Linked DNA regions of Oryzias latipes. The protein of the gene in region 1 interacts with the protein of each later gene in a pairwise test. Links are inferred from orthologs where the notes say so. Each region holds a gene or a part of one and is shown in the gene's direction. Other genes may lie near its edges. The genes, in order: rassf5, rassf2 and mylip.

Region 1 (4,099 bases):
CCTTAAGGTCCCTTTTGTTTTTTAGGTTGTGTTGGGAGTTACACATTTCAAAATTACTCTAGACAGTGTGGTCTTCTCTGTTCAGGGGAATCCCATGTGTTGTTTGGTAAATGATCTACATAGTACCCATGTATGAGCTAATTCATGCATGAGAAGAATCAAACCTGACTCAAGTGGATTTCAGCCTTTTTTCCCCATCTGGTATGAAAATAAAATCAAGTCAATGTGAATCAAATTGGAAAATATAGATACAATCAGAGACATACAGAAAACACTTTTGTCCTTTTAATTTCAAAAAATAATAAACTGATGTTCTGAACAAGATAAATATGTAAAAAGTAAACTTGTTCTCATAGAAAGTATTGAAAGTGGAAATCTTTGTAGTGTGCAGGTGGTGTGGGCGTCCTGGTGGACTTTTTCAGCTGCTTGTGGTTTTGTCGCTGCTCATATGACGCGCTCTTCGCGAAGTGGAAAGTTTGATATTTTCTGACTGAAACAAGTGGGATTTGTTTCAGATGTTTTTACGCCTCTGTTGGGCGTTTCAGCTTAAAAAATAAACTGAATTTAACTTTTTAAACCAAACATCTAAAGAATCGATCTAATCATATTTTGAGCTTTTTTAAAAGTGTTCCCAGTGATCTTTTAATTATGATTATTACTTAGTCAAAAAAATTTTATTCATTCATTCATCTTCTAAATCCATGTTGTCCCTTTCGGGGGTCATGGGGCTGCCAGAGCCTATCCAGGCCACTCATAGGCAAAGGCAGTGGACACCCTGGACATAGTTTCTGCAGAGTGGCAGTAACTCATGAGAAATTTACGTCTGAGTTGTGGGCCCAACCATTGGTGCGAAGCAACCCCGCCCCCCTTCCCCTCCCCTTACTGAGAGATCGGAGCAGGGAGCTTGTGGCCCATCCAGTATATTTCCAACGTCACAAATATTATAGACTCACAAATTTAATGAACACTTTTTAATGGTATTATTTCGTCTGCTCCTGATCCACAACTATTTGAATAAAAAAATACTCAGAAATGCTTAATTTCCTTCATATATGTCCTCTATCATCAGAAAAAAGGCACAAGAGCGTGTTAAAAAAACACTTTTCTTTAGACTATGTTTTCTAATAGCAAATACATTTTTTAAGCTTAAACGAAGCAGAAATAATCCACCAAATACAATTTCTTTTCATTTATTTGTTACTTTTTTGGACAACCTCAAATCAGCAGATTAAAGCGCGCTCCCGTTTCTCTGAAGGAGCGCGCTCGTGACATTTAAAGCTGTTGATCTGTTACGTCACGCCTGCACGTTTATCCCCGCGCGGGTTGAGTTTACAGTCAGGGCACGAGCCGCTCACACGCCCGTCAGAGAGCGGCGGTGGGATAATGGCGTCCGTGAGTTTGGTGGGGCAGCAGCCGGGTCCGCACAGCAGGCTGGATTCGGAACCGCAAATTCTGTATCTGAAGCTTTCCAGCAGCAAAACCAAAAGCGGCTTCCCGAGAAAATCTTCCTGGGACAAGATGGTGTTCATGAGCGGCGGCGACACCCAGGAGGAGCCCCGGAATCAGCATCCCCTGTCGCGCGGACCCGGCGGCGGAGGAGCGGCGGCTGAAGGACGAAGGATGTCCCGCGAGAGGTGCGGGGCTCCGGCTGTCAGTGAGGCGCCACGTAGCCCGGAGCAAAGCGGGGAGCGGGGCAGCGACGGGGTCACCGCCGGGACGCGACTCCCCACCGACGCTGGCAGCGACGTGAAGAAGGGCGCCTCACACCGCAGGACGGACTCGCTGAAGGAGACCAAGCACAAACGGTCTCACCGGCAGCGGGACTCGCCGCACCAGAGGCGGAACTGTCGGAGCGGAGACTCCGGTCAGGAGTTCCGCGGTCTCACGCGGGGCCGGACGGGGGTCGTGAAGCTGGCCCGCACCGAGCCGCACCGCAGGGAGGCCTGGTCCATCTTTCCGCGGGAGATGGACCCGCGGGTGAGGACGGAGAGGGGCGAGGGGCACCGGTTCGAGAGCAAGCCCGTGAAGCAGGACTGGTGTGATGCCTGCAGCCATCAGATCACAGCTCAAGCCCTCAAGTGTCAAAGTAAGGATGAGTCCTGAAAACTCAGCTGACTTTTAGCTTCATTTTTCATCTCACTGTGTGTAACTGGGATTCAGTGGGTTGCTTTTAACGCGCGCAGCTTTATGAAAGACAACATTCCCAATCATCAGATTCCCAAAATCCCCTCATGGAGGCCTGATTATCTCCTGCTTCCAGCTCTGCCTCCAAAATTCCCACTTGGATATGGATGCAAGCTTAAGCTGTTTGGCCTACTTAAGCAATATGAGCAGAGGAAATTCAACAGTAGTAATTCCACTGTAGTGGTTTAAAAGGGCAAACTGTCATGTTTTGTTGGTCATTTCTTCTGTAAACACTGATGTTTACTGCCAACTTTAAAGTCCACCGTTGGTCAGAAAACCCCCCTCCTCTCAGTAGAGCTCTATAGACGGATATTTTGAATTCCTCTTAACCTCCCCAAGACAGAAAGTTTGCTCAGATCTAATCTGACCTGCTCTTGTTTGCACAAACACACAGAAAGACTGATTCTTTCCTTCAGCGGAGCCTGAAGAAGCGGTGTGAACCTCTCTGCTGCACACACACACCCACCCACACACACACACACAGGCTTTGTGTGGAGGAGAAGGTGCGTCCACCAGCCCCTGCATGCATGCGGCTGCTGAGCTGGCATTGTGTCAGCAGCGGCGCTGTCATGGGGAGGCTGCAGGGCAGGGGGAGATAAGGCAAATGAAAGGACAGAGCCACTGAGAGGCAATGAGCAGACAAATGGGTTGAAGAGAAGAGCAAAGCAAAGGACGACAAGTGTTTAGAATGAGAAGAAGCCCTAAGATCGGGCTGCAGGGAGAAAGCCTGGTCTGATTTATCGGCTAGAGCTCACTGAGGCGTGAGCAGAGATTACTGGAACACACACGTCCAAAGAGACTCGTGTTCTTTCTTTGCTGCACTGGAACTTTAATACTTTCTGTCCTCCGAAGCCCTTTCTGTCTTTGATCAAAGTGATTAGCTGCACCGTCGCTGTCTGAAGGAGAAAACATCCACCTTCTCGTCAGGAAGTGGACGTGAGTGTGGAGTCACAAGCTCTGCCAGGCACTGAGAGCTTCTTCTGTGTGGGAAATGGAGAACGCACCAGTGGAAAACCAAAACACACACAGCATTTATTCTCTTTTCCTTCGTCTTTGGGGTAAACCCAGTAAATGACAGGGAGAGAAGAACTGAGGTCTTCCAGCTATAAACAAATCTATCCTTTTGTTTTGCTGCTTTGTTCCTTTTATCTTCCTTTACTTTTTGTCACATTTTCTCATTAAGCCTGGTTGTTGTGAGGAGTCTTGAACATCTCCTGGGACGGTTGAGGTCTTTCCTCTTCAGAGGAATCCATCGTGTCTGACCTCAACTCAAAGTCGTGTCATCTGGGGCTCGGTTTTGACCCAATCTGTTGCTCCATTCGTTCCCTTTGATCTTCCTTTTTCCTCATTTTCCACAGTAAAGATTGTCAACTATGTGAGATATTTTCCCTTTTTTTTAACCCATTATATTCAGTAAATCAGTGACTTTTTAACATTCATTTTTTGTTCATTTTAATCAGAATAAGATCATGGTTTACAGCTGAAAGGAGACGGAAGAATAGCAGTCACCTTAATCCCAGCCCGGCGTGTCTCTGGCTCAGGATTATATCCCAGGAGTAGCGATTAAAAACAGACGGACAGAGTCAGATGTCAGATTAATGTTTAATTAAATGCCTGCAGAAGTTCATGCTGTTGTGGCTCGATTGCTCTGATTTAATGGATTTAGTGGCTTCATCTCTTTCAAAGCCTAAATAACAAAACGGGTCCTTTAGCACAGTTCCAGTTTTAACACTTAATACTTGGTTGTGTTTAATACTTGTCATTTTAATCTCTGTTGAGCTGCGTTTAAGGTTTGGATTCAGCATCTGAGCCCCAGATAAAGACTTTATGAGGGTTAAGGCAGTCATTTGTGTGACTGAAAGGATTTGTAATCCTGTAATCAGACAGCTTCATGAACTCTAATTGAACAGATGTT
Region 2 (11,430 bases), on another chromosome or scaffold:
CAGCTATAGACGCAGGGCCTTGTCTGGAGAATGAGGAGCAGCAGGAAAAATGTATAACTTTTAATCCGAGTGCAGGGATTACTAATCTCCTGTGGATTGGTCATCACAACTGTTCTGAAAAACAAGGATATGTTGGTGAGAAGTCAGGCTTTTCTTTCATTCACCCATCTGAATCTAGATTTGTGCAGTTATTTTTTTTTAAATTTTGCTCTGTCACCCCAAACATCCGACCAATCTGCATTCTTGAGCTGCTTCCAACAGCTAACAAAGAAAACAGTTTAAAAAGGATGAAGAATATGGAACTCCTCTGGTGTTTTACCAAAGCAAGATGCTGAAATCTCTCATTTTACTTCTGCTGTTATGTCATTTTTGGTTTTTGTTGCTACTGAAAAAAATGTACTTTTTTTTTTTTTTTTTTTTTTTTTTTTTTACATGTTTTATAAGTAACATGCTAAATGCTTTCACGGAGAAGGATTTTATTTTGTATGTTCCATTGTGGGAAAGTGCTGAATCTAATTAGTTAGTTTTACATGTTTACATTTAACCTGATGAGGTGGTTTCTACTGTTTATGTCTATCGTTTCTTGCTTTTATTCCATTCCATATGTAATGTATTATATTTATAAGCAAGATGGAGACACTTTAAGACGTAAAACCTGAAAACTAGGTGGTGGTTTTTTTTTTGAAGCTTTGTTTCTGTAAACGCCGTTTGCACGAGAAACGATGCCAAAATCAGAGGTCCGAGAGTCCGATTTACGCACCTGAAAACTTAGAACTGAAATCTTCTTATAAACATATCTACTATTCAATAATCAGACAGTTTAACATTAACATTAATTGTAAGCCCAGAGTTCATGCACTGAAGATTTTGACGCTCTCCTCCACTGAAGAGTTTTTGGTGATGAAGTAGATTTGGGAAAAGTCGCAGCATCTTCTTTGGTTTTTTTTTCAATACCATTGCATCGGTCCATCATCATGCAGCCTATAATGAACTCTCCTTTGATACCATCCTCCCTGTCCTGCTATGAAAATGTACTGATGTCCTGTCATGTGCAGTCTACCTGGTTTTTCTCTCCAGGAGTTCCACCTGTTCATATTTCTGGATACAGGAGGGGACGCTTGCTGAAAGCCTGTTCATTGGCAGCCTTTTTTCATTTCAGATGAACGTCGGTTGTCTTTGTGCCTGAAAAGTATTTTTATCTTTAACAAATTTGTTACACAAGTGGTCCATTTAGAATAAAAAAGTTATATTTCTGGCTTCTTAAGAAAGTGACCAGAGGGATTTAAAAACAAAGATATTCATCCCTTTCAGTTATTTTGAAGGGGGTGCTACCTGAAGATTATACTTGTTTTTTTTTCTTGTTTTTTCTTTTAAAATGTTTTTTATACATCGTTTTGTTTTGCAAGCAAATATTTGTATGGAAAAAAAAATCCCAACTTTTAACCTTAATTCATCATGGAAAGCGCACTGTCTTGTACTTTTAATCTAAAAAGTAAATGCATTTGGATCCTATTTTGAATTGGTGATTTATTTTTCTTTTAAGGCATTTAATTTTTTTATGTCTATACAATAAATTGCCAGTTTAAATCAAAGATCAAGCAAAGTGGCTTTAAATGGTTAACACGCAAAATATATTTAATGTTTGCAAAAAATTCTGTCAGAGTTGTGTAAACTAATTGTAGCATCAAAATGTTTTATTCTTGTTCCTAAAACTTTAATATGATGTTACAGAATGAATTCAGTCTTGTGTCCTTTTTTTTTAAAGCGTACTTGTTAGTATTTTTTTTGTTTTTTTTTAACCCTTGTGCTATCCTAGGTACTTTAACATTGGGAGTTGGGTCATCTAGACCCACTAGACAGTGCGCTGAACCTTTTTTCTTCAATGATTTTTGATCTTCACTGGTGTCCATGGATTACATGAAATCGTTCCACCTTTGTCATGGTAGGGAGAAGACGTCAATGTAAAGGTGGGGTCATCTAAAATAGCACAAGGGTTAAATCTTATGTGGGTGAAAAAACGCAGTACAACAAATGGCCAGTAGGGGGAAACGTGCTAATCTACACGTTTAAAACGTCTAAAACGTGGAAATCTACCACCCTGTGGAGATTCTCTTTAATCACCTTTACCTGCTTCTTTTAGAGGTTGCCACAGAAAATCTCCATCCTATCCCAAATTCTACATTCTCCTCCTTCACAATAACCTGTCCTGCATAACATCCATGAACTTCCTCTTTGGTTTTCTTCCAGGCATCTTTTTCTTTGTAGTTCCATCCTCTGTATCATTTTACCAACATCAGCACTGTTCTTCCTCTCTATGTATCTAAACCATCTCGGTCTGCTTCCCTGCATTTGTCCTCAAACATTTACCATGAACTGTTTCTCTGATGGATTCATTCATGGTCCTATCCATCCTGGTCATGGCCAAGGAGAACCTCTGCATCTTCATCTCTGCCTCCTGTCTCTTTTTCGGAGCCTCATGGGGGCCCAAATCCAGGCCTGGAGGCCCGGCCTCCTGCTGGTTTTCCAGAAACCCTGCCTTATCTGCTGTTGATTACCTGGATCAGGTGTGTTTAGCCAATAATTAGCTTCAATGGAAGGATGGTTGAAAAACATGTAGGTCACCGGCCCTCTAGGCCTGGATTCTGGCAGTCCTGCATGGCTGCTCTCCCCACATTCTTCTACACGTCCTTTCATTCTTACTCACACGTTGCACCTAAATCCGTCGTCCACCTCTCATTTGCTCACATAGATGCTGTCTTGCTGCAGCACATGTTCATTCTCATTTTCAGAGCAAACTTCCACCCCTATAAAGGTTCCTCCACCCGCTCCCTGCTCTCCCAGTGTCGTCTGAGAACATCATTGTCCACAGAGATGCCTGTCTAGCCTCATCTGTCAGTCTGTTCGTCACCACAGCAAACAAGGAGCTCAAAGCTGATCCTTGGTACAGTCCCACCTCTGCCTTCAACTCCTCGAACACATCTACAGAACATTTCTATCTGATCTCCCAATGCTTATTTAAACTCCTCCCTAAAAACCACTTCCAGCACTTGCTCCTCCCATGGTCCTCTTCTTCTGTCTCACCACCACAGTCATCCTCACACCACCATCTTCTTTCCATCATGTCACCAACTCTCTGTTTGCCCTGTCAGAGTTTCTACATTCAGAGTTTCTCCTACAGTCCTGCATTTCCTTTTTTGTTTACAAAAACATCTTCCTCCTCTCCTTCCTCAACTAACAGAAGTTTAGTTTCTTCCTGGACAGGACAATTCCAATCTGTCTGTCTTCAAACCTGCTAAATCCCTTCCATTGGGTGAAGGTGGGGTACACCCTGAATAGGTCTCCAGTCTGTTGTAGGGCCACAATTATTAGGATTTAAATAATTTCATCTCTATTTTACACCATTAATGTTTATATGTTGATCACACAGACATAAATGTTACACTTTGAGTTCTATTTGAAATTCCTTTTTATTTATCAAACTTCAACCTAAGACGTTTTTAATGTGATGCGATAGCTGTGGCCCTTCGGGTCACTGCCGTTGCAGGTCTCTTCGCGGGCAGTGTTTGGGGCGACGGATTACAAAGTAACGAAATACTGTTCCAATTTCAGTAAATAAATTGCAATTATTTGTTTATTTTGCCATTTAATTTATTTACCATTTTCTCTGTTAATTAGACGAAACAGAGAAGGCTGGCTCGTGCGCGAACGACACGAGCCAACTCCTTCCTGGGAGCCGTTCTACATACTCTCACCACTGAGCAGAAGAGGGAGGAGCTTTAGTTCGCTACACAGATTCACAGGAACCATGCACCTGCATGAGGAAGAGACTGATGCAACAAGAAGTTGTTTCACTTTGAATTTATTTAAAAGGAAAAAAAGCTTCATCATAAAAAGAAAAAAGTTGAAATTTAAATAGTTGTTTTTAATATTTCATAATTATTTTTTCCATAAATAGAAACACATTTTTACATTAGTCATTCAGTTTGTGCATAATTGTTTCCTATTGTTGTTGATAATGAAGGAATTTAAGGAATAAAATGACCCGAAGAGCCACTTAAGAACCGAAAGAGCCGGTTCTAGCCCCGCCCCTCCAGTCAGAATGACTTTATCTTTTTCCCCACATCTCACTTTGAGCAGTGAACTTTCTTTTGTGTCATTTTTCACACTGTTGACTGAATTATAATAAACCCAGGTTTTGTCTTGAACCACGTTTATTGCACGAGGCCATTGCTTTAAAAATAAAGTTAAATGAGAGATGAAAGGATCTAGTTTGTGCTGTTTTTCCCTTGAGAATTTGTATGAACAAAAAGTAATGTAAAGTAACGAGTGAATTACTTTTCAAATGGGTAAATGTGTCTCTGCCGTGGGTCTTTCCGCCTCCGTTAACAAAAAAATAGAAAAAGCCTTAAAGCAAATCTAAACTACTGTATCAGTGCTTAGCCAGTTTTACTATACTCGAGTAATTTGGTGTGGTTGGGTCCAATAACTTAAATGCTATTGACCAAAAAAAAAAAAAACTCGATAATTTGTTGACAGTCCCCAGAGGCGGTCCAAACCATCCACCCTGAATCTGTATAGGCTAGTTGTTCAACAGGTTACCAAAATGTCTAGTTTATATGACCTTTCAGCCCCTTTGTAGTTTTACTTTAAGTCTTCTTTACTTTTTACCTTAACTTTTCAAATTATTTGGATTATCACATTTCTAAAGAGCATATAAACGCGTGAGAGATGATTTTTGCAGTTTACAGACATTTGTAGTCATTAAAAGCATGGTAACTGTTATTGTAAAGTAATATATTACGTCTAAACAATAGTAACAAGTCCGTCATTGGGATTCCAGTGACTTGCACGCCGATTAAGAGTTTGCGCATGCTCGCTTCTCCCATTGTTGTCATGTTTTCATTCAGCAACGCACGCGGAGCGAACAAAAGACGCGCCGGTCTCGCCTTCCGATTGGCTCGCGGCCGAACCCCCGCGAGGTCGACCACAGCAGATGGAGCTCGCGCTCCCCTCCTCTCGTTTTTTTTAGTTTAAAATCCCACTTTTACAAGCTCGTCTGCACGCGCCCGTCTGAGTGTTTCAGACGGCGGACGCGGAAAGCTGACAGTTAACGGAAGGTTTTCCATCAAAGGAAGACGAAGAAGCACATCAGAGGCGCCGCAGCTCAACCGAAAGAGGACCTCCGAAAGTCGGTAGGAATAAGATTCAGAGTCGGCGCGGGGTTGCTAAGTCCCACAGTCAGTAATATTACAAGTGCGGGGAAATGTATGTTCGAGTCACGCATTTTTCTTTACAGAAACTCCCAACAAAAATCCGCAATCTTTCATGTTGTAATTTACATGCAGAGCCGCGCTTGATTTCACAGCCAGCAGCCAAAATAAAAGAAGGGGAAACAGCTTTTTCTAAGCATTCACGACCAGCGGCCGTTATATAATAGGCGAAATTCATCACTGCTGTGACAGCTACAGGGAGGCAGGAGGCTTTTAAAAAAACATTCACTGCCCGGTCTCTACAGCTTAATGAAATACCTAAGAGTTTGATTCATGGTTTTGTCAAAAAGGTTACAGAAGTGTTACAGAAAGCTGCAGCCTGTATCCTTTAAAACACAACTAAAGGGAACAAGTAAAGCTGAGATTTCCATTGTTGGACAATCCTTTGTCATACAAACGAGAGAAGAGTTCAGTTAAATGTCTGGTTGGACATCTGAGCCATCTTTATTTCTTTGTTTTTTGGATAGAAGTTGTGCTGCTAGGAAGCAAGGATACTGAGAAGAGGCTGGGTGTGCTGTTTTCTGGAGCACAGTTGTTTTCTGGCGTTGCTATGACAATGGTGACAATAGTGAGGCAGAGCAGGAGTTATGTGGAGGCTGAAAGGCAATGGGAGGTGGTGTCGGTGGTGCTAAGAAAGGACAGGCAAAAGATTTGGAGCTCCTCATTCACCACATCTGCCAGGAGGAGCATTGATGGAGAGGAGGAGACAACAAGGGAGCATGTGTGCAGAGAAATGCTGAGGAGGCAGCACAGGGAGTCTTGAATTTTAATAGCACGCTGTGCACCAGATTTCTTTAAATTCCCCCTCCAATCATCTTTTGATCTATTTTCAATGCATTCCCAGAGGTATGTCATTATGATTTATGCGATTTTTAGCCTAAATTTAAAAAATCTGTCTCGTTTTCTAGGACCTAGTTTCTGCAGAGCGGCAGGGGTTCATCCAAAATTCATCGGAGACTTTTGACACGCAGTGAGCCTGCCCTCATTTTCCATCATCCTTTTGTTTGCACTGTCTCTAGCTAGCTTACAGCTCCTCATATCCTCAACCTAACATTACCGGTGCAGCAAACGTGGCGAGCAATATCAGAGCTATCCAGCCGTACAGTTTAGATCCATCTCAGACAAGGATCTGTTTGTCTGCAGGTGAATCAGAAAGAAGTGAAGCAGAGAGCTTGTGACACACCAACTGTACAAGCCTTTTTCCGACTGCATTTTTTCAATTTGAATAAAGAAATACTCAGACATGCAGATTTCATCTTGTTGTTCTTTATTTTATGTCCTCCATTATGAGGAAAAAATGCCTCAAAAACGTGTTTAAAACTCCAAAAGACACAATATTCATTGGAGTGGGTCTTTAATGTGATTCCAAACAACAATGCAGTGAAGGCGTCTGAGACATTCGAGGACTGGAGCGTCTGAGGTCGTAACGAGACTCATGGGAATTTTTGGCAGTCAATGAGGTCTACATTTGGACTGCCTGCCAGCACAGAGATCCAAAACAACTGGAGCAACACATGCAGATGTTGGCTCAGTTACTCGCTACTTTATGCAGAGGATTTAAACCAGGCCAATCGCAAATCGTCATCACAACATCAACCGGTGCAATACGCGTTTTACAATAACAGTAAATGTTCACTACATCAATGTTAGGGCAGCTTTTTATTATTTAGCAGTCTAATTTGAGCCTTTTACGCATTTGACCAATCGGATGGACCCTTTTATGTTAAAAGCCTGCCTCCATAGGCAGAAGTCAGTTTAAGTTATTTATTTAAAAAAATTGTAGTGCAATGGAAAGGAGGCATTATTCACTTCACTATTTGTTCATATCGACAGTCATAGGGATCACAAATATGGCACATTGTGAGTTTTCTTTATGTCGTGTTGCCCTAATTCATTCTTAAAGTTGCCTAAAACAATATTCTTTTGGTAAATGTTATTCCGATGTCTATTCCTCTCTGTAAGTCTAAATATACAGCCAATTTCAACGTTTTTCTCAATTCAATAATTTTTAATAACCGTAGCTGCAATTTGGTGCTAGCATTGGTAAAAATGATAAAACAATCCGGAAAGCTAAGCTTAAATGTTGTCTTGGCAATCAAAAAACAAAAAAGAATAATAGAAACCAGGAAATATATGAACACTTGAGGTTTTTTTTTTTTTTTTTAACTTTCTGTCTAGTTCAGGGGTGGGCATTGCAAACTACAACCTGTTAAATTATTTAATCTGGCCCACCAAACTGGAATAAATGATAATGACAATCCTTATTAAAGTTTTATTTTACGTTTAATTCTGATGTCTTCCCATTGATGCTGCTCTACACATAAATTGCCCGTCAGTAAGTTATTCTGCATTCATGAGCCGTCTGAAGATTTGTTGTTTTTCTGATGGTCACGTGTCATTTTGTGTTTTTCCCTGAAGGACACAAACCTATCAGTGCAATTGGCTGTGAACAAAAGCCAAAGTTTTGAAAAAAAAACTCCTAAATGTTGTGTTTTAAAATATGTATAGTTTTTCCCCATATGTTACCAAAGCACTCTGCATCTGCTTGTGGTCCGGCCCATCTGTCAAATTTTAGAACCCTTTATGGCCCACGAGGTAAAACGTTGGCCCACCTCCGGTCTAGTTGATGTGAAGTTGACGTCATTCCTGTGACTTGACACCACATCTGAGCGTTGTTCAGGTTCAGCAGCTGGCCACATGTCAGTTTCAGAGCACCGGCTTCAGCTGTTGGAAAGTCTTCAAGCACAGCCGCCTTCAGACGATGATATTAAAGGCTAATGGCCGCCATTGTGTGGGTCAATGGAGAGCTGTCGGGTGAACGCCAGACTTAATATGAGTGCTGAATTATTGATGAGCTTGGCATGGCTGGTGGTTGTTTTATTCGGACGCATTCATATCAGAGATTGACAGCCGTCGTTTTGAACAAACACGCTTAGCCGTGTGTCTGCTGGCCGTCACATGTTCAGTAGTTAGAACACAGGAAATCTTCTCTGCTGTTTGAATTGAGGAAGCTCCGGCCCGTGGATTTGGTGATGTTAGTTTCCTGTGTGACTGACTGAGCTAAGGAGGAAGCTGTTTGACGGAAGGGGAGCACTCACTTCCTTTAAACACCCTTTGCTATTTAGGTTTCTTTTTTTTGCTACAATTTGTTTGCTGTCACGCTCCAAAGACCCACTTTCTGGCTCTTTGACACAGATACATGATAAGGTACCACCAGGGATTGACAGAAAGTCGACCTGCTTAATCATTTATTGCGCCTTCACGCTGACGGCGCCATCTCTCAGGAGACTCCACAGGAATCGACAGTCATCACGGTACGATCACTTTGCTCGTAGAATATTATATTTAGTCTGGGTTTTAAAAACCATTCATTTCACATTGAAGCAAATGTCTGGAGCCGAAACGACCACATGTGCATTTCTAGTATTTTTTGGCGTAAAGGCTGTAGTTCCTGTCAGTAAAAATGCATTTGTTTCTGTCATGTCAGTGTTGAATGCATAGTGATGAATGTTCAAGCAGCTGAAATAATTCCAACCTGGGGGTGGCCCATATGTCCCACACCTGTCCATCTCTTTCTGAAGACGCTCTTCCTGCCAAACCCCCACCACAGTGATGGCTGAGAGCCATTTTTGGCAGCTGTATGGATGAAAATGCAGCGTTCATTTCTAAAGATTTGGCAACAGCCAGTTTTCTTTGCTGTGTGCAGAGAGGCCCACTTTTCGAAATCTTGAAAGAAAAAGTTTGACAGGAAAGAAGATAGGATCTGTTGTTTCTGTCTACAGTCCGGAGGTGGACCTCCTCCTCCTCTTCTTCCTGCAGTCTGTTCCTCCTCTTCAGCCCAGCTTCTTTGTGATTTTCGTTGCTTGTCATGAGGAGTCATGGGACCAAGTCAGACGGACGAGCTTTAACTCTGTGGGCTTTTTGTTTGCCAGCTCCCCCCATGCTGACGGAGAATGGATGAGACGGAGAACGAGGTTCAGATCGGAGAGAACAAGTTTGTCAGCAAGTAAGCGAAGTCTTCCTGCCATTTCACACCTAAACATGCACAGTTCACCATTGTGCTATCCTAGGCACTTTAACATTGGGAGTTGGGTCATCTAGACCCACTAGACTGTGCTCTGAACCTTTTTTCTTCAATGATTTGTGATCTTCACTGGTGTCCATGGATTACATGAAATCTTTCCACCTTTATCCACCTTAGTCATGGTAGGAAGAACACGTCAATGTAAGGGTGGGGTCATCTAAGACAGCACAAGGGTTACACGTGTGTCAGCAGCCACGTTATCCGCCGTCCTGCATGTGTTTAAACTGTTGGTTTGTGAAATAGAACGGTAGTCTCACAGACTCTCTCAGAAGTCGCTGTTCCTCATTTCTGAGGCAAACGAACAGCCTTCAGTTTGCTGAGTCACAATAAGACGTTTTACGTTCATCATGAACTTCATTAACCGTTTAAGAAAGAAGTCAAATGATTAGAATATTTTGTTTTGAAGGCCCTTTGCACTTAGACTCTATTTTTAAAATAATGCTTATTCGTTTTATTCAAGCAAAAGTCATTTCAGCGAGTGCTTCAATTTATTGGTGCATTAAGAGGCTTTAAATATTTTCCTTTATCATTACATTTAAAGTCAGTAAATCAATATTTCAGACTAGTTTGCCTCCAGACCTTTGCTTTCCCTGCTGGTTGTTATATTTTTTATCCCACGGTAAGGATTGAATGCATGTTACAATAATTATATTGAAGCATGGTCATGCCTGATACTAAATATGGTCAACAATAATAACCAAGATATAACTAATCTAATGTACGATAAAAGCAAGCATTATCGTCTTATATGTTTTGCTGCTTGTTTATGTACTGCAGAATTCAAAAATTTGCTTTAAATGACCGCAAACAAAGATTCAAATTAAGTTTTTAGATTAAAAAAGTGCTTTTACAGTTTATTGTTTGTATTAGTTCTTCTTCTAAACTGTTTAAAAAATGTATTTACTCTCACAATAATCTTCTCTGTATTTGTAGTCAGAGTAATATGTTTTATTTTGCAATAAAACCATTTTTTATCACAAAGAAAAGTTTTGTTTCCACAATTGACATTTTTGTAATAATGCTGTTTGAATTGGCGGTTATAGGTAATTGCCAGTAATGTTCATAATTCAATAATTACTGGTTTTGTGTTCATTATTACTGAATGTTAAACACAGAATTGATTAATAAACTGTACAAGCCAAAAGCATCACCACCCCGTTTTGTCTTAAAGTGGGCGGGTTCACAACAGGATAAGCTATTATGATTGGCTAAAGCAGTGTCATGTTTCATGGTAGCCAATCAGAGCCAATGTTGTTTTGATGCATAGTTTGCGTTTTTCTTGGTGGAGATATTAGAACCACATCCAGACTTTTATCTCAAGTTGTGAGAGTTTGAAGTTTTTAATAAGCTACAGTTTCTGCAAGAATATTTTATGATTCAACTGATTACCGCTGGAGAAAATAACAACTGTTGTTAACCCAAACAGCTTTCTGAGATTTTATATTTGAGTTATTTAATTTAACAACAGAGTTAAAGGCACTTTATGTCATTTGAATATTTATTTTTGTTGCAAACCAAACACTTTGTTGTCCAGGTTTTTTCATTTTTTAGTTGTCAGAGGTGGATTTATTTTGTAATAGAGTTAAACACGTTTTAGAATCGCTGCTGTGTACTTATACTTTAAGTATACTTCAATGTACTCATACTTTAAACCTTTAGCTGTCTGTTGATATGCAATACATATTGATACTTTTATTTATTTCTATTGACTTAAAAACTAATCAGAAAAATGATCATTTTGACATAAAGCAACTTTATTTAACAAATAGTTACTTTACCCGATGACTTGTTACTTTTATTCTATACTTGTATTACTTCTGGATTAAGTATCTGATCACGTTCCCAGCACTGACAGATTGGAATGAATAGATGTAGATGTAGTCAAAACGAAGAGCTGTTGCTCTAAAGATTAGGTTCAAAGGTGTTGTTTTCCAGCAGACTGTACATTAATTACACTAGAGAGGTCAAATGATGGCTGCTAAAGTTTCAAATGTTTGAACACCTCAGCTTTGCAGTTCTTTTTCCAGTTGGAGCACCGTTTCATTCTGCATTGTTTGTCTGACAGTGCTCTACGAT
Region 3 (11,603 bases), on another chromosome or scaffold:
GTGCTTTAAGAGGCACAGCTTTGGCTGTGGCATTGGGCAGCGATGACGGTGCAAAGTCACGTGCACAAACACGCCACACACATTTCCACACACAGAAATCCTTGCGTGGCTATGTGTTCACGCTCCAGTCGAGTGAGCAGTGACTTGCCTTAGAGGAAAGTGATGTCGCTTTGCAGGATGTCATGCCCAGCTGCAAACCAGGAGGATGCAAATGCTCTGTGTTTGTGCACGAATCCAGATGGGGAGGTGAAAAAAAAGATGACCTAAATATGCAAAAATGTGTTATTCTTTGTCCATGCACAGAAAACACTATTTTTTAGAGCATTTCCCACTAATTTACTCTTTTGTTGTGACATCATGCAGTGTAATGCAATTTTTTTAAACAGCTGAACCTGTATGAACAAAAAATAAAGGTATAGCTTTGAATTTGGCTTTTTAGCCATTATGGGAGTTTAGTACATTCAAGGAGTTGATGTGAATATTTGAGCCTTTTTTCTGATCTTAAGGGCAAAAGTGTTCCACAAAAGTTGCCCTGAAAGAACAAATGTTGGTCTTTAAAAGCCCGCTCTGATGAAAACTGTGTTTTTGATGTTTTTACCTGTTCTTATGGCATTTTTCTGATGATGGACGACATGTGTAAAGAAAATTAAGCTCAAAATTGCATTTCTGAGTGTTTCTATATATTTAAATTGATGTTAATAGGGGCAGAAGGAAAATTTACTTGCACTTGTTCACAACAAAATGTCATTTCTCATTGCTTTCATCCAATTGCAATTGTATTGATGTCTCAAGTGTGTCTGTGAACTTTGCAAGTGGTCTTGTACGTGTAGCATAGAGTTAGCACAGTGAACCCATGTTTAGCACATTTTACAATTACTTAGATCTTATTGATCTAAACTGATTGGTTCAATCCTCAGTCTAAAGGCCATTCTCTTTAAAACATGTCAGCAAGATTTCATTGTGGGAGCTGTCATATGCACAATCATTTGTTCAATTTAAAAATTAGTTAAGAAAATTCTTTGACCAACATGCATGAATTTCTTGGAACAATTGTTAAATTCAAGACAATTATTGACGCTCGGGTGAAATGAAACCTTCACTGATAAATGAAGAGTTTTTCCAATCAGCCAGTTAGTTCTGTAACCTCACAGGTGCTTTCTGTGATTGTGAATTCTGGTAAATGTGTAACAGAATAGGCCAGGGCCAATAACATTTGTAGTTTGAACATAGAGTTACCTCACCAACAAAATGAGCAAGGTCAGCTTCCTGCCGGAAGAAGGGGAAGAGAAGCAGCTGGAGGAAGTAGAAGAAGAGGAGCAGCTGGAGGAGTGAGGATGCGTGGTGGGGGAGTAAGAGGTCCCTGCTGCAAGTGATGGATGTTGCATGTGAGAACATCACATGGGGTCAATGCAAGGGAAGGTTAAAACGTTCACGTCGTTTCCTCACTCGCTGCATAGCAAGGGAAAATATCAGAGGAGCGTGTGGATGGCCAAGAGCATGAAGACGATGTCCACGAGAGGGAGGACACCCACAGAGACCAGTGAAGTTTACTGTAATCTGTCACTTACAGCTCTCTCAGCCTACTGGATTTTTCTTTTGGTCGTGTTTTTACGCTGGACTTGTACAGAGAAGTGTATGCTGTGTACATGTGCGTGAAGTCCAAATTCAGAAGCTGCTCTTACTGTGAAATTCTTTTGTTTGTCTTTTACTTTTATATAAAAATGTAACCTGTTAGCTCGAGCTCTTCAATAGTGACAAAAAATCTAAGCATTCTGACCTGCAGTGCTCAAAAAACTACCAAAGGGATGATGCTTTTTGACTGTTTGTGTGAGAAATAAACTTGGTTTTGATCCGTGGATAAACTGTTTTGGGAGAGACATCAGCGTCCGCAGGTGATCCATGGTGTTGTGCTGAAGCATCCAAGTTACTTTGAGAAAAGAACTAAGTGGATGAGAATGAGCCAAAGTAACTTAGAGGGATCTATGCCATTTTGATGCCATTGACTCTTCATCTGAGAAAATAATCTGCTTCTGAAGTGTGCCTGATGAGTTTTGGGAAAGAATTTTTGCTATTTCCAGTCAGCTGAACTGTTGTGCAGAAGTGTATATGCAGAAATGACTTTTTAGCTTTGAGATTGTCATTTCAGTTTCAGGAAATGAGCCAAACCAACGGGGAAAACTGTAAACCAGGGCCTTTCCTGTCTAAGGTGAGAGCACTAACCACTGCACCGTCATGCAGCTCACTCTACTGCAATCCTCTATTAGTTCAACTGAGACTCTCCTTGTGGTACACATTTATTTGACTGCAACTAATGGCTTACACCACTAGATGGCACTAATCCTTTAAATAGTCCCTGTAAAAACTGTGAGAGATGGAAATGCTTAGGGGCTCCACTCATTGTTTTCATCTAGACAAGATCTTAACTCAGACTAAAGCCAGACTGCTGAACACAATTGTGATTTTTTTTTAGAACTTGTTCTAGAAGTTGTTATTTCATCAATTCAGTCTGCTTTTTAAAAAAAACAGATTGTGGTAAAGTGCTAGGCTGTGTCATCTCTACGCATACAATCCCACCTCTACACTTTATCTTATCTGCCACAGTCTCACTATCTATGTTACATTTCTGATAATAGCTAGCTCAGACATTTTCCTGCGACATACAGTCATTGTATAATTATATCACCTCAGGGTAAAGTTTAATTGGCAATGACTTCATGTAGGCTGAGCTTCTCACAAACAATAAGAGATATAATTACTGGTAAAACTGGTATCCCTTTTTAAAAGGGATCCTAGCAAGATTCCCCCCACGCTGACTCACTCAAGTCTTCATCTTAGGTGACTAAAAGTCACACGATGAAATAAAAAATGTAATTTCAATTTTTCATTTATTACCCTGCGACAGACTGGCGACCTGTCCAGGGTGCCCCCCGCCTTCGCACACAAGTGGCTGGGATAGGCTCCAGCAACTCAGTGATTCCGAAAGAGACAAAACGGAAGAAGATGAATGAATGAATGAATGAATAATTTAAATTTTTTAATTTAAATTTTGCAAAACTCTGCAAGGTACTTTATTCTGAATTGCACCATGAAACTGTGTTGAGGCAAATGTTGTTTATATGACTGTTTTGGCAAAAGGGATGATCAGAAATGAGTTTTTCTTTTTTACAACTTTCAAAATAATTGCAATGAGTACCAAGGTTGCCTTGATGTCTCACTAAAAAATGGCAAAACATCTGCTCTGTTTGTGTTGTTTTTATATATTTTCTACAAGTGAAGCTATCGTGGCTTAACTTAAAGTGACGTATTTTTCCCCTTTTACACTGAAAACAACTCGTACTATTTAACCCTTGTGCTATCTTAGATGACCCCACCCTTCCATTGACGTGTTCTCCCTACCATGACAGAGGTGGATAAAGGCGGAAAGATTTCATGTAATCCATGGACACCAGTGAAGATCACAAATCATTGAAGAAAAAAGGTTCAGAGCACTGTCTAGTGGGTCTAGATGACCCAACTCCCAATGTTAAAGTGCATATAGCACAAGGGTTAAACCAGTTGAGAACACACATTCCATACTCTGTTTACTTTGTTTGTGAGAACTAGGCCATGCTGGGTTTTCTGCTGCTGGTTGGATTGGAGAGACTGATTATTAACCAAAGTTTGCATTACGACCAGCTTTTTCCAGATTCTTCTTCAGCATTTTTTTAAACCTTTTTTCAATATGATCAGATTATCTTTGATCAGTTAAACAAACACAAATGTGTTCAGATGTTTCCGCATTTATTAAAAACAATTTAACTCAAAAAGTGGACATTTTTTAAATTCTCATTGAGTCGTTTTGAATCGCCTCAGGTTTCATTAGTGTCACTGATGCAACATAAAGAAGGCAGAAATGAAGAAAAGCACTCTGTCTTGACTCTAATATGTCCCGCTGGCAGACACATCACGAGCTTGGCTGAGCGCTTTGCAACCATGGTTGAAGAATAAGACTGCAGCTTTTTCTTCTGGCCTGGGCTCCTTCCATCACAAAGCTGTGAATAATAAATCATGAAAATAGTAGATGCTGAGGGCGTGATGAGGCAGAGCATCTGAGGATGAAATATTCAGTCTCTCTAAAAGGATGGCATCAACGTGAATACAGCCAGAGGTGGGGTAATAGTTATGCAAATGAGTCACTGAAACAGCTGACAGTTTTAACAGCAACTGCAACTTAAACCTAAAATAAGTTAACTGTTTTTTTTTTACCACAATGGCATTTTCTACAACATCTAGTTGAAGAACAACATGTAAGATGGATATAAGTACAGAGATAGTTAGGTGAATAATAAAATGAATACTAGGTAAATACTTTATTGATCCAGAGGGAATTTGGATGGCTGTCACACTAGATAAAAAAGCATTAAAAAAAACATTACAAGCACATATAAATTAACTAATAAAAACACTAAAAACCCCAAAAAATACTAACAAAAAAAAAAGGATTTAAAATATTAACAACAGACATCACATAGAAAAACAGCATAAAAGACACAAGTTGAACAACGTTACAATTAATGTTAGTTAATGCATCAGTAAACATTACTTAAATATTAAATAAAGTGGTAAGTGCCACTTTTATGCATGACTTTCCGTTACTAAATATATTATTTATCACATTAATCAGTGGTTAGCTAATGTTTATTTTTCAACCCTAATCATATTAAAGCACTGGGAGGTCATGGTGCAGAGGTAGAGAAGTTCCCCTCTGATCAAAAGGTTGCCGGTTTGGTTCCCGCCCTGCCCTACCATGCAAGAATCCTTGCATGGTAGATAGATAGATAGATAGATAGATAGATAGATAGATAGATAGATAGATAGATAGATAGATAGATAGATAGATAGATAGATAGATAGATAGATAGATAGATAGATAGATAGATAGATAGATAGATAGATAGATAGATAGATAGATAGATAGATAGATAGATAGATAGATAGATAGATGGATAGATAGATAGATAGATAGATAGATAGATAGATAGATAGATTTGTCACAATAACTTCAAATACAACAAATAATAATAATACTGATTATAAATAACACCAAAATCTATAAGTAACAACATTAGTTGGGCTACAATATAAATGACAGTGAAGTGTGTATGAGGTGTTGTGGAGTCTAAAAGCTGACAGTGAAATGATCATCTTTTACATCTATTTGAATTTTGTTCTATTTAAAAAAGAACATTTACAAAGCCTCTTGGATAAGAGGTGAAACGTCTTCTAACTTTAAAAACCAAGTCCAGATGACAACCCCTAAACCTACTACAATGGAACCAACCTGGACGAATGAGAGTCTTCATAGACATGTTTAAAAAAGAAAAGAAAAGAAAAGAAAAGGTAAAATTGGATGGAAAAAATAAGCCACTATGAAAAATGCATGTGAGCATCAAAGAGCAAGCAAACCGGAAAACTCTCCCTCTCATGAAAATCTATATTTAGACAGTAGTCTCATGGAATATTTACATGTTGTGAACAGAAAGGCGAACAGCACGACTCATTAAACTCACCGCGAGGTCTTCTGGAGTTGGAGAAATGTCTAATTTATTCAGTTCAGGTCAGTGAAAAGCCCCGAACTATAAGCATAAGCTTGGCCACACGGGGGCGCCCTCAGGAGTTAAGAATTGATCAGCTTTCCTGATTGGTTAAAAGATCTCAGAGAGAATGCTTAAGATGCCTCTGATTGGTCAGTGTTTAGTGGGCGGTGCTCTTCGCGGGTTTCATTGAGATAGGGTCCAGCTGGGGAGCGCAGATTCGGCTCGCGTAGTGAAAGCGTCTGAACGTGAAGAAAGCTTGATGTGGACGTGACGGTTTTGGAGAGGACACGAAAGTTGTTTGTTTCAGCGCGTGGCACACCAAAGATCCACGGACAGCGACCAAAAATGCTTTGCCACGTGACTCGTCCGGACTCGGTGGTGATGGAAGTGCAAGTCGATGCGAAGGCAAACGGGGAAGACTGTCTGAATAAGGTAAAGTTGAGCTTCAAATATTACATCACAAATTACTATGTTGTTTTTTTTTTAAACGCAACATTGTGGTTCAAAATCAACAAAGGTTTTCCACGTTTGCTTATTTTCTGGCGCTGAACTTCCTGTAAATAGATCCGCGTGTTAGCCCCCAAAACAAAAGCTTTGACATGTTTTCACACATAAATGCATGAATTCCCAGCTAAAAACTGTTAACTCTTCTCATGTCTGGAGCGCTTTTTTGGTTGCGGTGCTGGGGAAAATTGCCGGCGGTCACTTTTGTGCAGAGCTTAGTCACTAAGTGAGAGGCGCTGAGTGTCCGGGGTTACTAAAGTTCATTCTTCAGGAGGCGCACATGAAACTTTTCTAAACTTTTAGTTCTGGTTATTATTGGCGCAAAAAGACAAAGAGCTTTAAAATCACCTCCCTGTAGCTCTGAAAATCTATTGGTTTTATTTATATATAAAAATATCTATAATTGTGCTTTTGAGGAACAAGCTGTAACCTGCTTCACTTTCTGACTAATTAAATTACTTTATTTTTGTATTGAAGCAGTGAAACAGACGGCGTTGTGTTTTTTTTTTCTTCTCTTGCTTGTAGGTTTGCAGGAAGTTGGGCATCATTGAAGCGGACTACTTTGGGCTGCAGTTCACGGGCAGCAAAGGAGAGAATCTGTGGCTGAATCTGAGGAATCGCATCTGCCAGCAGATGGATAATGTGACACCCTGCCGGCTGAGGCTGCGGGTCAAGTTCTTTGTGGAGCCCCATCTCATTCTGCAGGAACAGACCAGGTACCAGCTCAGTGTTTGAACCCTCAACCCTCTTCTTTTTTTCTTCTTCTCCTCGTGGCTCCCTATGACTGACAAAGAGGAGAGCGCTCTGGCTGACTCAAAACAAAGGCATTGCTCAAACACCCTGCAGGCCGTGCAGTGGAAATGCCCTGTAGTAACCTCTCTCCGGAGCTCTTCCGGGGTTACTGTAGGTCATTTTGGCTGGAAATGTGATCCCAGCAGCTCCTCACGCTTCCCCAGAGACCCATTCTGACGAAACAGAACCCCCCCCCCCATGTCTCTGCTTCTATGAGTGAACCTTGTTTGTAGCTTTTTTTGTTGTTTTATTTCTCTAAACAAGCACTTTAACACTTTGACACGTTTGTAGATGTTCTCTGGAAACGGGCCAGCAGTGCCTTTTTTTTTATTTTTTCCCCCACCGCTTTTGTTTTCTCTCATGTGGGTCATTGAGTCACAGCTGAAACTGTGCCATTGGTGGACCCTTTGTTAGTTTTTTTTTTTTTTTTTTGTCAGAAATATGCTTAGCCCCAGCAGGAAAAAACTCATCCACTACTTTCTTTTCTTCTTCATGATTTGAGCCAACTGGACTGGGTCCTAGAAAAGTTAATTGTGCATTGTTTTTATAAGGGGGGGGCATGTCGCCGGGAAACCGACAACTTCACTCGACTTATTCCCTCTTTTTTATTTTATTTATTTATTTTTAATCTACTTATGTTGAATTCACTCATTATTTTGGTACATCAGATCATTTGCTGTTGTCCATGTTTGGCATCCTCTCCGGAGACAAATGTGATGGGGGGGGGGGGGGGGAATTGGGGGAGAGGGCACGGGGACAGTTGGCTGCCTCTGCTCCGACCGCCACTCGATTAGCTGGGGTTATCAGCAGATAGCTGGCGTCGGGTGAGTGGAGGGTGGTAGGGTCAGGCTAGAGATAAAGTGAAGTGACAGGGAACGGTATGCATGGCTGCAGCACACACAAACATGCTGTAACACTTACATTTTACTTTAAAAAAAAACTTTTTGTTCCATTTTTAAACTATAAATTGATCTTTTAGGGAACTTTGTTACTTAATTTGCATATTAAATCCCTATTTGTGCAGATTGTGGTGCAATTCTTTTAAGAACTTTTTCCTGAAACTTTTTAATAGCTTTGACTTGGCTTTAAACAAACTAATTAAAAAATAGTTTTCTGCTTAATATACTTCAAGCAGACACTCCTCATTATGCTCCTCTGCTGCACATTTCATGTGGAGAAAAGAATCAGGTGTTGGTCGTGACGTGAAGGGCATTTCCTGCAGGTTGTAGACGACTCGCGCTCGCTGTAGATGCGCTGGGCGGTTGGCACCTGTCTGTATAGGCCGCTCTGCAGCCCGCTTATGTAACCTGCTGACCTCATGGTGGATTATATAAGGATGTTGTGTGCTCTGCTGCCACATAAAGCTTTTACTGGTCACTTAAGTGTTCATGTGCACGCACACACACAGTTTCTGTAGATTTCCTATAGATTAGGAAGTTTCAATGTCTAAAACAATTTTTTTATTTTAGTTACTATGTTTAAACCTAACAACCTAACCTTAATGAGGTTGGGATTGCGAGGATTTGTTTTGTTTGAGAACGAATTAATCACAAAATCTTTATATTTTGTATATTCAGAGGTCAATAATTGCATATTATTTTCATTAGACTTTGGCTTAGCCTTTTATTGGTGGCATCTGTCCTTTTGCTTTTCCACAGATCTTTGTCTTTTTGTTTTTTTTACTAATTTTAATCAGATTGTTTTTTTTGTTTTTTTTTTTCCATGCACAGCCTTAAATTATTCACGTTCTTATCAAGCATCTTTATACTTCATTTTTGACCCGCCTTTTTTTGTGTGTTTCTGAATATTTTGATCAGGCTTCTTCAGGAGATTCCTGGCCGATTTGCAAAGTAGTTCATCTTGGGTTTTTATTTATTTTTTCCTTTGGACCATTTGGTCTGTGCTTAAGTACTGGAATAACACTATTGGTCGTGTTGGTGCTGTCATTGATCATTAAACCCTGCTTGCTTGGGGCTGTTCAGGTTCCTCCCTTCAGCAAATGTGTTCAGCATTCTGATTAGGTAAACGTTTGATGCCCTGAAAGAGCAGGTTAGCAGGAATCTTAACCCTAAACTCAATTATTTTTGTTGACAAATTTAAGAATTTAAGAATTTAAGGAAAAACGTGATTTATGAAGGTTTGTTTTTTGGTAAAGCATGTATATTTTAAATGAATCGCCTTCTTTGGGTTTTTGAAACGGTACTTATGGTAAATGCTTTTTTTTCCCATGGGGCATTGTGTCTAAACCCAACGCAACTAACTGAGGGGAAAATTGTATGCAGGGACGTGAGTTTGCATAAGATGTCGATCAGATCCAGGTAAGAGTCAAGATTATGGGCAATTTGCACAACTGTTGTTCCACAAAAGAGTATTTTTACTTTTTATCAGTGAGAACACTTGGAAAGGAAAGCATTCTCTTAAACTACTGTTCTACAAAAACTGTTCAAGAGGATTTATTTTGGCTCATGTGTTTTTGGAGATGGTGGCACATCCTGCCATCTTTCACATCAAGCACCATAACTATTGTTTTTTTTTTTTATTCTTTGCTCCACTTTTCCTGTTAATCTCTTAGAACATCTGCTGTAATTGCAGTTTACTGTTCTGTGAAAACCCAAAGAATGTCTCGCACAGACGGCCTGTTTGTTGGATCACTGCAAAGCTCCTTTTGAGTTTGAAGGCATAGATGTATAAAATCCGTGAACTGCAGCTTTGTCTCAAACTGCACATCTTCTGTTTTATTCCGCCTCAAACTGTGGAGAAGTTGGCGTGCAGAGTTAACTACAGGTCATTGACTGGGAGTAACCTCGTAACACATGGCTTCTGGCTGTGGTATTTGACTAGCTTACAAGCCGCATTGTTGCGATGTAAAACTCTGCTGCTGATTGGCTGAAAGCGGCTCGGTATCCAGGCAGCAGGGTTAGGTTTCAGTTTGAGTGCAGCTCCTGAAACAGCCGGTTTTTCTTTTAGTAGGTTTTAATGCTTCGTCCGAGCAAACATAAACAAGAACCCAGGCTTTTGACTTGTTTGTTTTGAGAAGTCTTACTTGTATGAGTATAATTTTTCCTCTTTGGTACTGTGCCACGAAGCTTTGAGTCTGTTTATTTGCTTATATTAGCAGGCGGTCTGTATCTTGTGGACAAAGACGTGTGGCCTAAACTGTAATACAGTAGAAGTAGGACAGGAGACTTCAGTCTCAATAAACTTCCTGACATTCAAAGGATTGCAAGGTGTTGCAATAATGGCCTGCAGATTAAACTGTACAGTACACGCTGTATTAAAAAAACCCTGTTGTTTCGTGTAAACTCTTCCAAGTCATGTCTTGTTTAAAAACTCTTTTTTTTTCTTCTGACTTTATAATTTTTTCTTAAACTTTATTTAAATTTTAAACTTTATCTTATAGGTCTGTCAATAAATGAATACGTTTTTCAGCAGACTCCTGGCCTTTTTTGTAAATTTTAATTTTTTATTATTATTTTGAATAGCAAGCTTCTTGCTAGTTCAAGCTCTTACTGACGTAAGTCCCTCTCCAATCGTTTTTTGATGTATTACAAAAGTTTTCTTAGTGGTCTTTTAATTATGTTTTGTGCCGTTTTTATCAAAATCAAAAAACTTGTCATTTTCTAGGAGATGGTTTCTGCAAAGCGGCAGATCTTTTTTTTCTTTTACCCAGAGGAAGTTGATGATGCAAGTTGACCTTTTTTAAGAAGTGTATTTTCATCCACATGAAGCCATTGGTGTTCGGCCTTTGGTTCCTCTCAGAGCTGTCTGGCAGAAGCGGCCCGCGGTGACAACAACCGTTTCTGCTCTCTGGGCCTCTAAAATCCCTTGAATTCACCGTTTAATGTAAAGGAACTGTTGGCTTCAGTTCACTAAATTGTGACTTCTTTTTAAAGGAAACCCTTCTTTCGTCTACATGTAGGTGTTGTGACTGACGGTAACCTCACGGAAACACCTGTGTAACCGAGAGTAACCTGCGCCTCGCCCTATAGTAACCCTGTGCCAACGACCTGTAGTAAACTCTCTGTAACGTCAGCTCCATTGTTTGCATCAGGCAGGTAGCTAACTAGCAGTGCTCCATCACATGACGCCTGCTGGGCCTGACACAATGGAGTGCAGTGTTTGTGTGCGTTTGGAGGGAATGGGATGTTTAACACCAAATCAAAGCGTGTTTGTTATGCCCGAGGCCGCTCATGCTCTGGTCCTCGCATCGCTCCGGCTTCTGCACAGGTGGCGGCGTAGACTTGGCTTTGTGCGCCCCTCGCAGCTGAACGTTTTTGCAAAGGCGTGTCTGCTGTTGCATTCGCAGCGGCTGAAACACGGCGCTTGTCACAAGGTGTAGTCTTGTTTGTACTGCAGGATCACGGAAAACAACAATCTCCTTCTTTCCAACCGCCTTCAGTTGTATTATTTTGTAGACATTACTGGGGAAGAATGTTGTTTTACTTGCATCTTAAACTTTCCAAACAACCTCAAGTTACTGTAGGATCTAATTTACTCCAATAAAAATGTAAAATTGAATTGTTTTAATGGGTAAAAAAGGAAACCGGTCTGATTTGTTGAGTTCTGAGAGGACTTAAAGTGGGTCAAACTGTTGCATAGAGGTGAATGTGCAACTGTTTTAAGAGCAGGTGACTAGTTCATAATCTTCTTACTGTTTACTGTGGCAAAGGTCAATCTGAAGGGAGGATCTGTGTTCAGCGCTCCTGTTAGCTGCGATGTTTCCCCTCATGG

What was found.
Region 2: the proteins of rassf5 (region 1) and rassf2 interact in binary tests that used the Homo sapiens proteins (3 or more experiments, as listed by UniProt). The link is inferred for Oryzias latipes from reciprocal best matches to the Homo sapiens genes RASSF5 and RASSF2.
Region 3: the proteins of rassf5 (region 1) and mylip interact in binary tests that used the Homo sapiens proteins (3 or more experiments, as listed by UniProt). The two-hybrid records come from large-scale screens. The link is inferred for Oryzias latipes from reciprocal best matches to the Homo sapiens genes RASSF5 and MYLIP.

Annotation. Positions count from the first base shown.
Region 1 is NC_019863.2:28,043,826-28,047,924, reverse strand, and holds the start of rassf5 (ras association domain-containing protein 5), read left to right. Parts: upstream 1-1,299; 5' UTR 1,300-1,383; coding exon 1,384-2,086; intron 2,087-4,099. UniProt on the Homo sapiens protein: Potential tumor suppressor. Seems to be involved in lymphocyte adhesion by linking RAP1A activation upon T-cell receptor or chemokine stimulation to integrin activation.
Region 2 is NC_019867.2:6,443,288-6,454,717, reverse strand, and holds the start of rassf2 (ras association domain-containing protein 2), read left to right. Parts: upstream 1-4,908; 5' UTR 4,909-5,192; intron 5,193-7,457; exon of another isoform or gene 7,458-8,465; 5' UTR 8,466-8,584; intron 8,585-9,202; 5' UTR 9,203-9,223; coding exon 9,224-9,276; intron 9,277-11,430. UniProt on the Homo sapiens protein: Potential tumor suppressor. Acts as a KRAS-specific effector protein. May promote apoptosis and cell cycle arrest. Stabilizes STK3/MST2 by protecting it from proteasomal degradation.
Region 3 is NC_019869.2:23,668,383-23,679,985, reverse strand, and holds the start of mylip (E3 ubiquitin-protein ligase MYLIP), read left to right. Parts: upstream 1-5,747; 5' UTR 5,748-5,921; coding exon 5,922-6,008; intron 6,009-6,605; coding exon 6,606-6,796; intron 6,797-11,603. UniProt on the Homo sapiens protein: E3 ubiquitin-protein ligase that mediates ubiquitination and subsequent proteasomal degradation of myosin regulatory light chain (MRLC), LDLR, VLDLR and LRP8. Activity depends on E2 enzymes of the UBE2D family.